3 linked regions of the Ovis aries genome follow. The protein of the gene in region 3 binds, or shares a complex with, the protein of the main gene of each other region. Links are inferred from orthologs where the notes say so. Each region holds a gene or a part of one and is shown on either strand. Other genes may lie near its edges.

What was found.
Region 1: the proteins of LCK (region 3) and CD8A are in contact, whole or in part, in an NMR structure (PDB 1Q69), measured with the Homo sapiens proteins. The link is inferred for Ovis aries from reciprocal best matches to the Homo sapiens genes LCK and CD8A. Residues at the interface, in NP_001036236.1 of Homo sapiens: Cys20, Asn22, Cys23, Tyr25, Pro26, Ile27, Val28; in NP_001139345.1 of Homo sapiens: Arg212, Arg213, Val214, Cys215, Lys216, Cys217.
Region 2: the proteins of LCK (region 3) and CD4 are in contact, whole or in part, in an NMR structure (PDB 1Q68), measured with the Homo sapiens proteins. The link is inferred for Ovis aries from reciprocal best matches to the Homo sapiens genes LCK and CD4. Residues at the interface, in NP_001036236.1 of Homo sapiens: Glu15, Ile17, Val19, Cys20, Asn22, Cys23, Tyr25, Pro26, Ile27, Val28; in NP_000607.1 of Homo sapiens: Ala429, Arg431, Ile435, Leu438, Leu439, Lys443, Thr444, Cys445, Gln446, Cys447.

The regions. Positions count from the first base shown.
Region 1 is NC_056056.1:58,635,921-58,640,296, forward strand, and holds the start of CD8A (T-cell surface glycoprotein CD8 alpha chain), read right to left. Parts: upstream 2,825-4,376; 5' UTR 2,753-2,824; coding exon 2,701-2,752; intron 2,591-2,700; coding exon 2,225-2,590; intron 1,640-2,224; coding exon 1,523-1,639; intron 1,320-1,522; coding exon 1,209-1,319; intron 1-1,208. UniProt on the Homo sapiens protein: Integral membrane glycoprotein that plays an essential role in the immune response and serves multiple functions in responses against both external and internal offenses. In T-cells, functions primarily as a coreceptor for MHC class I molecule:peptide complex.
Region 2 is NC_056056.1:209,484,935-209,489,097, reverse strand, and holds the start of CD4 (T-cell surface glycoprotein CD4 precursor), read left to right. Parts: upstream 1-1,358; coding exon 1,359-1,407; intron 1,408-1,530; coding exon 1,531-1,695; intron 1,696-4,163. UniProt on the Homo sapiens protein: Integral membrane glycoprotein that plays an essential role in the immune response and serves multiple functions in responses against both external and internal offenses.
Region 3 is NC_056055.1:235,285,991-235,290,070, forward strand, and holds the start of LCK (tyrosine-protein kinase Lck), read right to left. Parts: upstream 2,868-4,080; 5' UTR 2,754-2,867; intron 1-2,753. UniProt on the Homo sapiens protein: Non-receptor tyrosine-protein kinase that plays an essential role in the selection and maturation of developing T-cells in the thymus and in the function of mature T-cells. Plays a key role in T-cell antigen receptor (TCR)-linked signal transduction pathways.

The sequences.
Region 1 (4,376 bases), on a different chromosome or scaffold from region 3:
AGTAAACTTGTAAAATGACAGTGCATAATAATGACTGACACTGAAAAGAAGATTAATTTACTAAAACACAAGCTATAAAGCATATTTACATTTTATAGTTTTAATAATTATTATTAAAAGTTAAAAATTAAAGTATAGTTGATTTACAATATTGTGTTAGATTCAGATGTATAGTAAAGTGATTCAGTTTTTATACATGTAAATATATATATATGTAAATATATGGGGCTTCCCTGGTGGCTCAGATAAAGAATCTGCTTGCAATGCAGGAGATCCAGGTTTGATTCCTGGGTCAGGAAGATCCGCTAGAGGGGGAAATGACAACCCACTCTAGTATTCTTGCCTAGGAAATTCCATGGACAGAGGAGCCTGGTGGGCTACAGTCCATGGGGTCCCAAAGAGTCGGATGTGACTGATGGAATAACACATATACATATATATGTAAATGTATATATACATGTATATGTAAATAAATATTTCAGATTCTTTTCCTTTATAGATAATTACAAGATATTGAATATAGTGCTATGCAATAAGTAGCATTTAACTCTTGAGAACTGAGGTGAGGTCTTCTTTCCCACCCTTCTTCACATCACTTTAAAAAGCATTGCAAATACAGACGTGGGTGAACGTGGGTTAGTACGGCCACCTGCAGTAGGATCCAAATGGGTGGGGGCTCACAAGGAGGGGGCCAAGGATAAACCACTGCCTGTAGTGATTTTGACCCGGGCTTCCTGGGCTCTGGTGCCAGGGCCACAGCCGGGCCCCGCCCTGCTCCCATCCCCATCCTGCTGCTGCTGCTGCTGCTAAGTGGCTTCAGTCGTGTCCAACTCTGTGCGACTCCACAGACGGCAGCTCCTGGGATTCTCCAGGCAAGAACACTGGAGTGGGTTGCGATTTCCTTCCCCATCCTAGGCGTTTGTAATAAGCCCAGACCTGCGGGCTTTGCGGGTGGAACACCCCACCCCTGCCGCTGCCGCTCTGGGGATGGGGCTATGCCTTCCTAAAAACTTCCCGGGATGTGGAAAGAGAAGGGGTTTTCCCTGCGTTCTCTCTCCAGGAAAGACATAGGCAGTGCCTGGCCCTGCGGTGCAGCTCAAAGTTCCAGAAATCCGAACCCAACTAACTGAACTGCCCTCAAGGGCTGCCTAAAGCAAAGCGCTGCAAAAATCGGGCTGCGTCTTCCCGCGCGATTCCCCAGGACTTACGGCGGTAGCAGATGCATGTGACGACCAATGAGAGGAGAAGGACGGCGCAGGTCCCGGCCAGGGGAGCCCAGATGTAGATATCGCAGGCGAAGTCCAGCCCGCCCTTGTCCACTGACGACACAGAAGACGCGGACATTTAGGAGAGGGCCCGGGATCCCCCACCCCACCCTGGGGACCCCCCCACCAACCCTATCCCACCCCGTTGGTGCGGGCACGTCCCTTTTCCCGTTCCGGCTTTCGTTTCCCCACCGCTTGGGCTGCTAGGAAGATCAGCGTGGCCCCGGCGGCGAGGGCCTTTGCCGCGCCCGCCTCACCTGTGCTGCCCGCCGAGGGCCGGCACACCTCTGAGCCCGGAGAGACAGACCTAGTCTGCGGCGCGATGGTGGGCGCGCGCGTGGATGGCCGCATCGCCGGCGTGGTGGTGGGCTTCGCTGCGGGAACAACGGAGAGTGGTTAGGGGCCGCGCTGGAGCTGTGCCCGCGAACCCTTCCCACCTCTCCGCCAGCCTTTGCTAAGGGGGCACTCCCTCCGGATTAGCCACTGGAGGAGCCGTAGAGGCTCAGCGGAGCTCGGCGCTCAGCGCGGGGAGATGCTGAAAGACCACCTGGTCGTCTGAGTACACTGGGTGCCTTGGACATGAACACAGAGGCCCGTGCCCCTCCGCCCAGCCTCTCTCCAGGGCCCCACCAGAAACGTCGAGGGCTTGGAGGAGGCAGGGGTGGGACGGTGGGACACCGGCCTTCTCCTGACCAGCAGTGGGAAGCTCAGATAACTGAAGTGCAGTAACTTGCCCAGGATCATACTAGCTCGGAACTCGAGCCCAGATCAACCAGACCTAAAAAGTCACCTTGAATTACTACCCAGTCGCACCCTAGCCTCAGTTTTCTCCTCTGTGAATTGGGAACAGTATATAAGTAGCCCCCAGAGGCTCGAACCCCAAGAGAGTCGAAAGTAGCGGTGTCCCTGTGAAAAACGGACTCAGACGCGAACCCCAAAGCCGACCCGGGGCGCCGAACCTGGCAAGAAGACAGGCACGAAGTTACTGAAGTACAGGACCGAGTTGCTCAAGACTGAGCAAAAATAGTAGCCTTGGTCCTCCTGGCGGAAGTTTCTCAGGGTGAGCTGGAATTTGGAGCCGGTGACCCTGGCGCCGGAAATGTGGTCGGGGTCCAGTCCCTGGGCTAGCTTGACCCGTTGGGACGAGAGATACATTAGGAAGGTGGGTCTGGGGTCGTCCCCGGGTATCTGGCGGAGCCAGGAGCACCCTGACGCCATGCCGGACTGCACCACCTCGCATTGCAGCTCCACCGTCTCGCCCAGTCTGGTCTCCTTCTGCGTCGGCGACATCCGGAACGAGAGCGACCCTAGGACCTTGGGGGCATCTGCAGGACACGGGTAGCGAGACTGAGCTGGGAGCCCGGCGCCGACTCCCCCACCTCCCCCAGTCCCATGCCAGCCCCGCCCCCGCCTCCCCCAGGGGTCGCCAGCTCACCGAGCAGCTGCAGGGCCAGCGGCAGGATCAGGGAGGTCAAGAGTGAGGCCATGGCGCGCTCCCTGCCGCGGAAACTCCGAGGCGCGCAGCAGCCGGTGGATCACCGACGGGAGGGCGAAGTTTCGCCCTTCGACCGGCCTCCGAGCCCGATTTCGAATTCAGAGGATGTGATGTCACTTGAAGCCCCGCGGAGAAGAGAGTCGCCCTCCTTTTCGCGGTTGTCACCCTCCAGCCCAGAGAGGGGTGGGGGTGTGGGGGTCCGTGAATGGGGGCCGTCGAGGCAATCTGGCCAGGTGGAGAACAAGGACAAGGATGGTTGGACGTGGCCCTTGGAAGGGCTAGCTTGTGGGTGTGACGGAGGCAGATAAGAGATTTCTAGAAGGGAGGGTGAGCGAGCAGGAAGGAGAGAGAAATGTCCACTTCCTCTGACCTCATTCAGAGTGGCCCTGGCACTGACAACTTGGGGCTTTAGGTCCCGGGGAAGTGGGCCCTGAGGGCTGAGGCTAAGAGGAGTTAGTGACTGGCCCACATCTGCGGGACTCGGACAGGGGCGTCCGGGTGCCCACAGAGGAAAAAACCTTCTTCCTTCCATTGAGGAGACTTCCACCAGTCAGCCGGTCAAGCAGTGTGTGAGGTTTGTGATTTTCTGCTTCTCATCCTCTTTCCTCAGTAGTTAAACCTGGCCACCACAGCCTCATTCCTTCGAGGCCACTGCAGCAGCCTCCACAGTAGCTCCTGTTCCGGCCAGTCCCCCAGCCACACTGCTGTGAACAGTATTCTCCAAAAGGGAATGTGATAGTGTCACTCTTGAAGCCTCCTGGTGAGGTGCAGGTCTGAGTGGAAGCTCTGCGTGGAAGCTCAGCCCTGCCTTGGCTTGGAGCCTGAGTGCTGGTTCTGCCCAGCCTCCTTCCCAGGCCCCTGTCCTGGTCTTTCCTATTCACCCCCACTACATGCCCATAGGGTAATCTTATGGTGCGCTCAGTCATGTCTGACTCTCTGCGACCCCATGGACTGTAGCCTGCCAGGCTCCTCTGTCCGTGGCATTTTCAGGCAAGAATACTGCCAGTGGGGTTGCCATTTCCTCCTGCAGGGGAATCTTCCCAAGCCAGGGATCAAACCCGTGTCTCTAGTGTCTCCTGTGCTGGCAGGCAGATTCTTTACCGCTAGCGCCACTGATGATCTGAACTGTGCGCTCCCCATGCTGGAATGCACTTCTGTTTCAGCCCCTGGCCAGCTCCCAAGCCTTGGTATCTGAATCTCATTCTTCTGGCTCTGGGTGCTTGGCGGGCACATGTGTCAGCCTGGGTTTCTTCCTGTCTGAACCTGATACACACTTGGCCCCTTCCTTTTTTGTCTGCTGCTGTCCTGAAACCTTCCACCCCATAGTGGGTCCCCTCTCTCATTTCTTCCCACTTTGCATCCCATAGTGAGTGCAGCGATGCCCAAACTTTTTGACATCAGGGACCAGTTTAGTGGAAGACAACTTTTCCACCGACTGGAGGCAGGGGATGGTTTGGTGATGATTCAAGCACATTTTATTTATTGTGCACTTTATTATTATTATTACATCAGCTCCACTTCCGATCATCAGGCGTTAGAACCCAGGGGTTGGGGACCCCTGCCACAGTGCCTGCCCCTCATGCTGCTGCCCCTTGTTTCTAGAGACAAACCACCTG
Region 2 (4,163 bases), on a different chromosome or scaffold from region 3:
CCACTCCCCAAGACTTCGCTCCACAGCCACATGCCCCCCCATTGCCCCCGACTCTGCAGACTGTGGTGGGGTGCCCTCCCCTTTCCTTTCCAGCTGTCTCGGGGTTGTCAGACTTGAGTGTGCAGCAGTCCCCCAGAGGGCTGTGAACACAGACGGCTGCACCCAACCCCAGCTCCCGATCCTGGAGGTCTAGGGTGGGCCCCAGAGGTTGCCTGTCTCACAAGTTCTCGGGTGATCACACATGGGGAATCACTGCTCCAACCCAGTGGCGCCCATTCCTCCAGGTCCATGCAGAGCCCTTCTGCGACCCTCTCCCCCACGGCCCTGTCTGTCTTCCAAGCCCACAGAAACTCCGGAGTATTGCCTTTTTGCTTGTCCCACTCAGAGGCCTTCTAGGGAATCACCCTCTGCCCTTTCCCTGACTGCATCCCTCATACTGAATCAGACCCCAGGTCCTGGGGGTTTTCTTTCAGAGCTCCTCCCTTAAGTCTGTCTCTCTGAGTTCAGGCCTCATCTTTTCCCACCAGGATTCTTGCAATCCTGCCTCCCATGCTTGACCTCCTCCAGGTCCTCTTCTGCTCAGCAGCTGGAGGGATCCATCCTGTAAGTCTACTCCTGTCCTCTAAGTAAAGCTCCCTCGAGCGCCCAGGGTCACAGCATTGCGGGACCTTCATGACCTGGCCTGACTCCCTAGTCTCAGTTCCTACTAATTTGCCACCTTCTCTGAGAATTCTTTTCTTCTTTTTTAAAAACTTTACTTCATACCAAAAGCTGTTCACTCATTTTATTTTGTAATTCATTGATTGATTAATTAAGTTTTGGTTGTGCTGGGTCTTCGTTGCTGGGCACAGACTTTCTCTAGTTGCAACGAGTGGGGGCTACTCTCTAGCTCCGGTGTGAGGGCTTCTCATTCTGGTGGCTTCTCTTGTTGTGGAGTGCAGGCTGTAGGACACGTGGTCTTCAGTAGCCATAGCATGTGGGCTCAGTGGTTGCAGCTCCCAGGCTCAATAACTGTGGCACAGGGCTTAGTTGCTCCCTGGCATGTGGAATCTTCCTAGACCAAGGATTGAACCCATGTTCCTTGCCTTGGCAGGCGGATTTTTAACCATTGGACCATGAGGGAAGTCTTTTGAGAATCCTTTTCTGATTCCCCCTGGCAAAGAACCCACCCCTGGCCCAGGCACAGCATGCGTGGCATGTAACCCATGGGTGTCTTCTTCAGAGGCCTGCACGTCTAGGTTCCCGCCTGGCTGTCTAGGTCATGAAGGGGACCCAGCCAGATGAACGCCTGCTAACTGCTGACTGGTGTCTCCCCCAGGCCGAAGGCTCAGGTCCTTGCCTGCCTCAGCAAAGCCACAATGGGCCCGGGGACCTCTCTTAGGCACCTGTTCTTGGTGCTGCAACTGGGTGAGTGCTCAGACTTGGGGTCTGGGTGCAGGTGGCTTGGGAGGAGGGGCTGGTTGGGGAATGCCAGGTAGGGGATGGGGCAACCACAGCCTCAAGGCCTGACTCCCCTGTTTTTCCACCTAGTGATGCTCCCGGCTGGCACTCAGGGAAAAGCAGTGGTGCTGGGTAAGGCAGGAGGCCAGGCAGAGCTGCCCTGCCAGGCTTCCCAGAAGAAGAACATAGTCTTCAGCTGGAAAGATTCTTCCCAGTCCAAGATTCTGGGGAGTCATAACTCCTTCTTGCACAAAGGTAGGTGGACCCTGCTCCCTGTTTAGAGAAGAGAGCCCTGGGGAATGAACACCCCGGTGGCAGGGCCCAGCTCCTAGTAAACTCTGGGGTTCTGGAGGGTTCTGCCATCAGCCAGAGTCTCAGGGACTCCCCAAGTCCGGAACCACCCTTTGCCAGCTACTGGCGGGCTGGGGAATGGCTTCTGGTGGTCTACTATAATTTCATTATTTTAATATTGATGACCTTATTTTAATGGATAGTAGAAAAATAGTTATCATACGAAACCCATGATTTCATGAATATTGTTGTTACAGACCAATGATGATACTTTGTTTACTTCCATTAAGAGCAACAGAATGTTTCTCCCTAGCTTTTTCAAAAATAATGTATTTATTTTTGAATGTCCTGGGCCTTCACTGCCACTTGGGCTTTTCTCTAGTTGTGGCGAGCGGGGGCTACTCTCTAGTTCATGCGTGTGGACTTCTCATCTCAGAGGCTTCTCTTGCTGCGAAGCGCAGTCTCTAGGCAAGGGCTTCGTGTGTGGCATGTGGGCTCCTGAGCTCAGGCTCAGCAGTTGTGGCACACGGGCTTAGCTGCTTCTCGGCATGTGGGATCTTTCCCCACCAGGAATTGAGCACATGTCCCTTGCGCTGGCAGGCAGATTCTTATCCACTGCGCCGTCAGGGAAGTCTTTTTCTAGCTTCCAAAGCGGAAAGAATTAAGATTTCAAAACTTCTTAGGAACATTAATTTGCAACCTTATTTTTTCACGTAAATTTTACCCTCATGCTCCTGTTTAAGTAACTCTTCTTTCTTCTGGGTATGGCTTCTAATATTCAATACATTATTGAATGGGAGAAAGTCATAGAGTCAAAAGTAGAAAAATGCCACCGGTGTGAAATGTATTTATTCTTTGTAAGTTTATTTGATTTATTATTGTTTTCATTTCACTGCTTATTTTTTTTAACATTTTCTCTTAATTCAAATGTATATAGAAGTTGAATAAATATATAATGAACCTCTGTGTATCTCTCTCAGGTTTAACAATGATCAATTCATGACCAATGTTGGTTCATATAACTGAATCACTTTGCTGTACACCTGAAACATTGTAAATCAACTATATTTTGATTTAAAAACACATCTATTATATCATCATCAATGCTTTAAAATTAATTCCTTTATGACAAAAATATCCAGTGTTCAAATTTTCCCAAATGCCTCATAATATTATTTTTCCATCTGGTCTATTTGAATCAGAATTCAAATAAAAATTCATGGATGGTATTTTCTTGATATGACCTTTGAATCTCTTTGAATTTATACATTTACTCTCCTTTTTCTGCCCCCTATTGCAACTGATATTTGAAGAAACCAGGCAATTGCCCTATAAGTTTTACATTGTGGTAGCATTCAACATGTTCCTCTGTCCCTTAAATCTCCTAGAAATGGTGATTAGATCTAGAGACATGATCAAGTTTATGTTCATTTTTTCTCTCAGTGACTTATTTAATAGCTGTACTCCATATTACAAGGCATTATAGCCCCATCTTTTTTTAAAATTGAACTATAGCCTCACTTGCGGTGTTGTGTTAGTTGCTGGTGTATAGCAAAGAGATTCAGTTATATCTATGCACTATTCCTCCCCCTTTGGCAACCATAAGTTTGTTTTCTTTGTCTGTGAATCTGTTTCTGTTTTGTAAATAGGTTTATTTGTATCGTATTTTAGATTTCACATATGTGTGATATATGATCGTTGTCTCTCTCTTTCTGACTTACTTTACTTAGTATGACAATCTCTAAGTCCATCCATGTTGCTGCAAATAGCATTATTTCATTCTTTCTTATGGTTGAGTAATATTCCATTATATATACCTTCTCTATCCATTCCTCTGTTGATGGACATTTAGGTTGCTTCCATGTGTTGGCCATTGCAAATAGTGCTGCTATGGACACTGAGGTGCACACGTTTGATCTTTTGACAAGATCGTTTTATAGATGGTGTTTTATATTACCAATTTCATCACATTAGGAGGCATGCAATATTTATTGCTTCTTTTGGACTATTAATACAAAACAATCAGCGGCTCAAGTTTAGTTTATTTATTTGTGCTTCCTAGGTGGCGTTAGTGGTAAAGAATCCACCTGCTAATGCAGGAGACTTGCAGGAGACTTGGGTTCGATTCTTGGGTTGGGAAGACCCCCGAAGTAAGAAAGGCCAACCCACTCCAGTATTCTTGCCTACAGAATCCCATGAACAGAGGAGCCTGGCGGGTTACAGTCTATGGGGTTACAAAGGATTGGACACAACTGAGCAACTAAGTCATTAAGAGATATTAATAAATTGAATTATTAAGAAGCGTTGGCAAGAATACACAGAAGAACTATACAAAAAAGATCTTAATGACCCAGGTCACCACGGTAGTGTAACCACTCACCTAGAGCCAGACATCCTGGAGTGTGAAGTTAAGTGTACCTTAGGAAGCATCA
Region 3 (4,080 bases):
GTTTCCTTTCGGGGCGCCTCGTGGGACTAACATTCTTTAGACCAAGTGTTGGAAATCTAGCTCAGATACCTTCCAACGAACACCCAGATGGAGGCCCCACTTGCCTCCATCCCACCCACAAACTCAGCTCCCCTCAGCATTGCTTTCACTGAATTGGGCTTGGCCTTGAAGCCATCAGTCTGTGGGTGTGTGCATGGATTTATAGGATCCCACTGTGGTGTTGGAGAAGACTCTTGAGAGTCCCTTGGACTGTAAGGAGATCCAACCAGTCCATTCTAAAGGAAATTAGTCTTGAGTGTTCATTGGAAGGACTGATGTTGAAGCTGAAACTCCAATACTTTGGCCACCTGATGCGAAGAACTGAGTCATTGGAAAAGACCCTGATGCTGGGAATGATTGAAGGTGGGAGGAGAAGGTGGTGACAGAGGATGAAATGGTTGGATGGCATCACCAGCTCAATGGACATGAGTTTGAGCAAGCTCCTGGAGTTAGTGATGGACAGGGAGGCCTGGTGTGTTGCAGTCCATGGGGTTGCTGAGTTGTATACAACTGAGTGACTGAACTGAACTGAACTGAGCTGATGTGTGATATATATGTGGTCCCTGCCTCTGCCTCTGAACATCCATGCACACCTACATTTTCCAGTGATGATATGAATGGTATTTGGGCTAGGAAGGGAAGGATCATGTGTGTGTGTGTGTGTGTGTGTGTGTGTGTGTGTGTGTGTGTGTGTGTGCGTATCTATGTGTCTGTAGGAAGGTATGTGTGGGACCCTCCTCCAAGATAGACCCTGTGGCCCAGCCTAAAATTCTCACACCCACTAGAACACACAGGAAACAAGCTCATTTGCAAAGCTACACCACAAGTGTGAAGGAATGGGCTGCCCACTGGCCTGCCAAGGTGCTGAGTAGGAGTAATTCCGGGTACGGACAGCACCCCCCAACACCCCCACCGCACACACACCCTTGGGTGCACCATTTGCAGGAGAAGTGGTTGCCTAACCTCTGTTAAGCACCTTCGGCATGCCAGTTACTACCCACAGCACATCACAGCCATTTTCTCTTTGATTTCCCACCAGCACTCTGTAAGGAGGGATTTATTATTGCCTCTTTACCAATAAAGCAACTGGAGTTTGAAGAGGTGAAGTCATTTGTTCAAGGAAATGGCAGAACCAGAATTGTGCCTGGGTCAGCCTGACTGTGAAATACATGTCCTTTGCGCTACACCAAACCCTCTGGCTCTCTTGTGTTTGGTCTTGCCCTGAGGTTTCTGCCCTCCTAGGATCCAAGGAACAACCCAGAGACAGTGACCCTAGCTGCATATCCTAGGTACTCTGCAAAATGGGCCTTTGTTCTCATAGCCGCCTGACTCTTCCAGGAAGCCTTCCGATCACCCAAGCGAGGCCTCCTCTCGACTTCTGGAGCTTCCGCTCATTCTCTTGCTCCATCACTTGGCCCTTTTTCCCTTTGAGAAGCGCCTCTGTCCCAGAGCTTTGAGGGCGAGGGACCCTGAATCATCCTTCAGCACAGGCTAGGGTGGGGGACGGCTGATGCCAGTCCAGGGTCTGGATGAGTCTAGGGAAGACCCAGCTTGTTTTCCAGACCCCACAAGAGGTTGCAGGCCTTGGAGCTGGGGATGAAAGAAAGACTGCGACATGGCTGAGACAGTGGAAACTGTTTCAAGAAAAACTCCAGTGGCGGTGGGGGAGGCAGGGGAAACCTGGAAAGTGTGGCTCAGGTAGGGATTTACCCCCATAAACTACAGGCTGAGAGCTAAAATTGAGGGGATGGACAAGGAGCTGATTCTGCCTCCCTGGGCCTCCACCTTCCTGGGGTCTGAAGCAGGAACCAGCAGGACCCACTGGCCCTAATCAGGCAGTGGCAGGGGCAGGGGTAGGGGGCAGGAAGGAGCAAAGGGAAGAGGAAAGGACATCCTGGCAGGGGCAGGCGTGGCAATTTTCCAGATGGAAATCCAGATGGTCCTTGCCCAGGGCCAACAGCACCCTTGTCCAGGATAAAAATAGCCCTTCCTCTTCCCTTCTCCCATCCTCCTCTCACCCCCCAACATCCCGGAGTCCTGTCAGATACTTCCGCCCCAGTCCTCATCCCAGATGATAAATATTCCCTTGCATGCCCATCCATTCCCAAAGGAAGACCCCCTCCTTCTCTCAAGCAGTGTGGGTCGAGGCTAAAGTCACTCCTCACGTGTCTGTCCGGATGCTCTGGGTGATTCCCCTCGCTCTCTCAAGAGAGTCTTGTCACTGGGGTCTACACCAGCAAGTGGAAGGACTCTTGGGACCCTTGACTCAAGCCTGTCTATCACCTTGCTCCAGTGGGGAATCACATCCTAGGCCATCACCTCTCCCAGGGCCATCACCCTCTCTGCCTCTGCGTTGCTGACGGACTATGGGGAGGGAGCATTTTGCCCAGTCTGGGGCTTAGGAGGCTTATCCATCATGGGATGAGGGGCTGGATGCAGGGATTTCTGAAGGCCTTTTCAGTACTTAAGAGATCCCCAAGGAAAAGGCTCCCAGTGAGGTGGGCTCTGATGGCAGGCAGTGTGGTGGAGGCACAGCTACACAGGAAAGAGGCGATCTGGCTGTTCAGCCTGCCTCCCACCTGACCTCCAGGTGTTTCTGACCCCAGCCTGATAGGCTGCGCATCCCAGGGGAGCCTGACCCTAGGCCCAGCTGCAGCCTTCTGCTCGAAGGTCCCACTCCCAGCCCTTAGGCCCCTGTTCCGGGTACTCCTTACCTGCCCAGCCCAGGAGCCCCCTGGCCCCATTCACATGGTCTTCCTGGCCCAGCCCGGCTGCCCAGACACAGCTTCGGCTCCCCTCACCGTCGTAGCCACTGGCTGTCTCCCCGCGCCCACGTCCCACCCTGACTTCCTGCCTCCTCCTGAGGGCTCCGCAGCCAACCGGGCCCCAGCAGCCCAACCGCAAGCCTCCAGCACCCCAAGCTTCCTGCTGCCATCGCCCCCTGCCTCTCAGCCCTCTAGGGTCCTTTCACCCCAGTCCAGGCCCCATTCACCCCGAAGGTGGCACCCGGAGGTAGAGGAGAATATTGGATGGAACTTCCTCCGCCCCCCCCCCCAGGGAGCACCTGGACCAGAGATTCAAGGGCCGCCTTGAAGCCCCAGTGAGCAGGAGGCAAGGAGACACCCACTCAGCTTTCAGTGAAGGGCAAGCTGCACGGCTATCAGTCTGAGAGCCAGGTGATCCTTGCACTACAGTCAGAGGGCAAAAGTAACATCCCCTCAGAGTCAGGGGGAACAACATCCCTGTAAAATCACTGGAGGGCAGATACGATGATAGATAGATACCAGGCGCACACAGCTGCTAGCCACACAATGGAACCACAGCCATGCCATCTCAGGGCATGGGGAAGAGCTTTATTATTTGCAGAGGGGAGGCTAAGACCCCTCCTACAGACAGTCTGCTGGACAACAGGCTGTTCAAGGAAGCAGACAGGACAACCCGGTGTCTTTAAGGGAGCAGCCTCTTTTGTGGGCAGAGGGCAGGACAACACCCCCTAATTATGGTTGGAGAGTAGGGCAACCCTTCTAACCCAGGTAGAGACAAGGCCACAGCCTCTGTCAGAGGCGAAGGCCTGACACCACCTCCTGCAACAGGTGGGAGACAGAACAAACACTCCTGCCCAGGCCCCCCGGTGCAGGCAACAGACTGGCAGCACTTTCTGCTACAGGCAGGAGGAAGGGACCCTGTCACAAGCACGAAGCAGGCCAACAATCTCCCTTTCCCCAGGAGCCAGGCTGAGGGTGGCGTACGTCAGAGGCTGAGGGCCAGGTCACCAGTGTTACGAGGAACTCTAGGTGGCCTCTCTCGGGCCCAAGAGCTGGGCCTTGGCCGCACCCATCGGAAGACAGAAGCCTGTTGCCACCGCCTGAGGCTGCACTGAGGTAGCAGGCTGGGGGAGGGGAAGCCCACAGAGCATTGTTGGGGTTTGTGAGGTGGAAGCCGATGCTGTATGCACCTTCAGCTGCTGCGGAGAGAAGGGGGAGACAGGAAATGGGTGGGGGGAAGAGGAAGCCTGAGTTGGAAAGTCAGACAAAGAGGGTG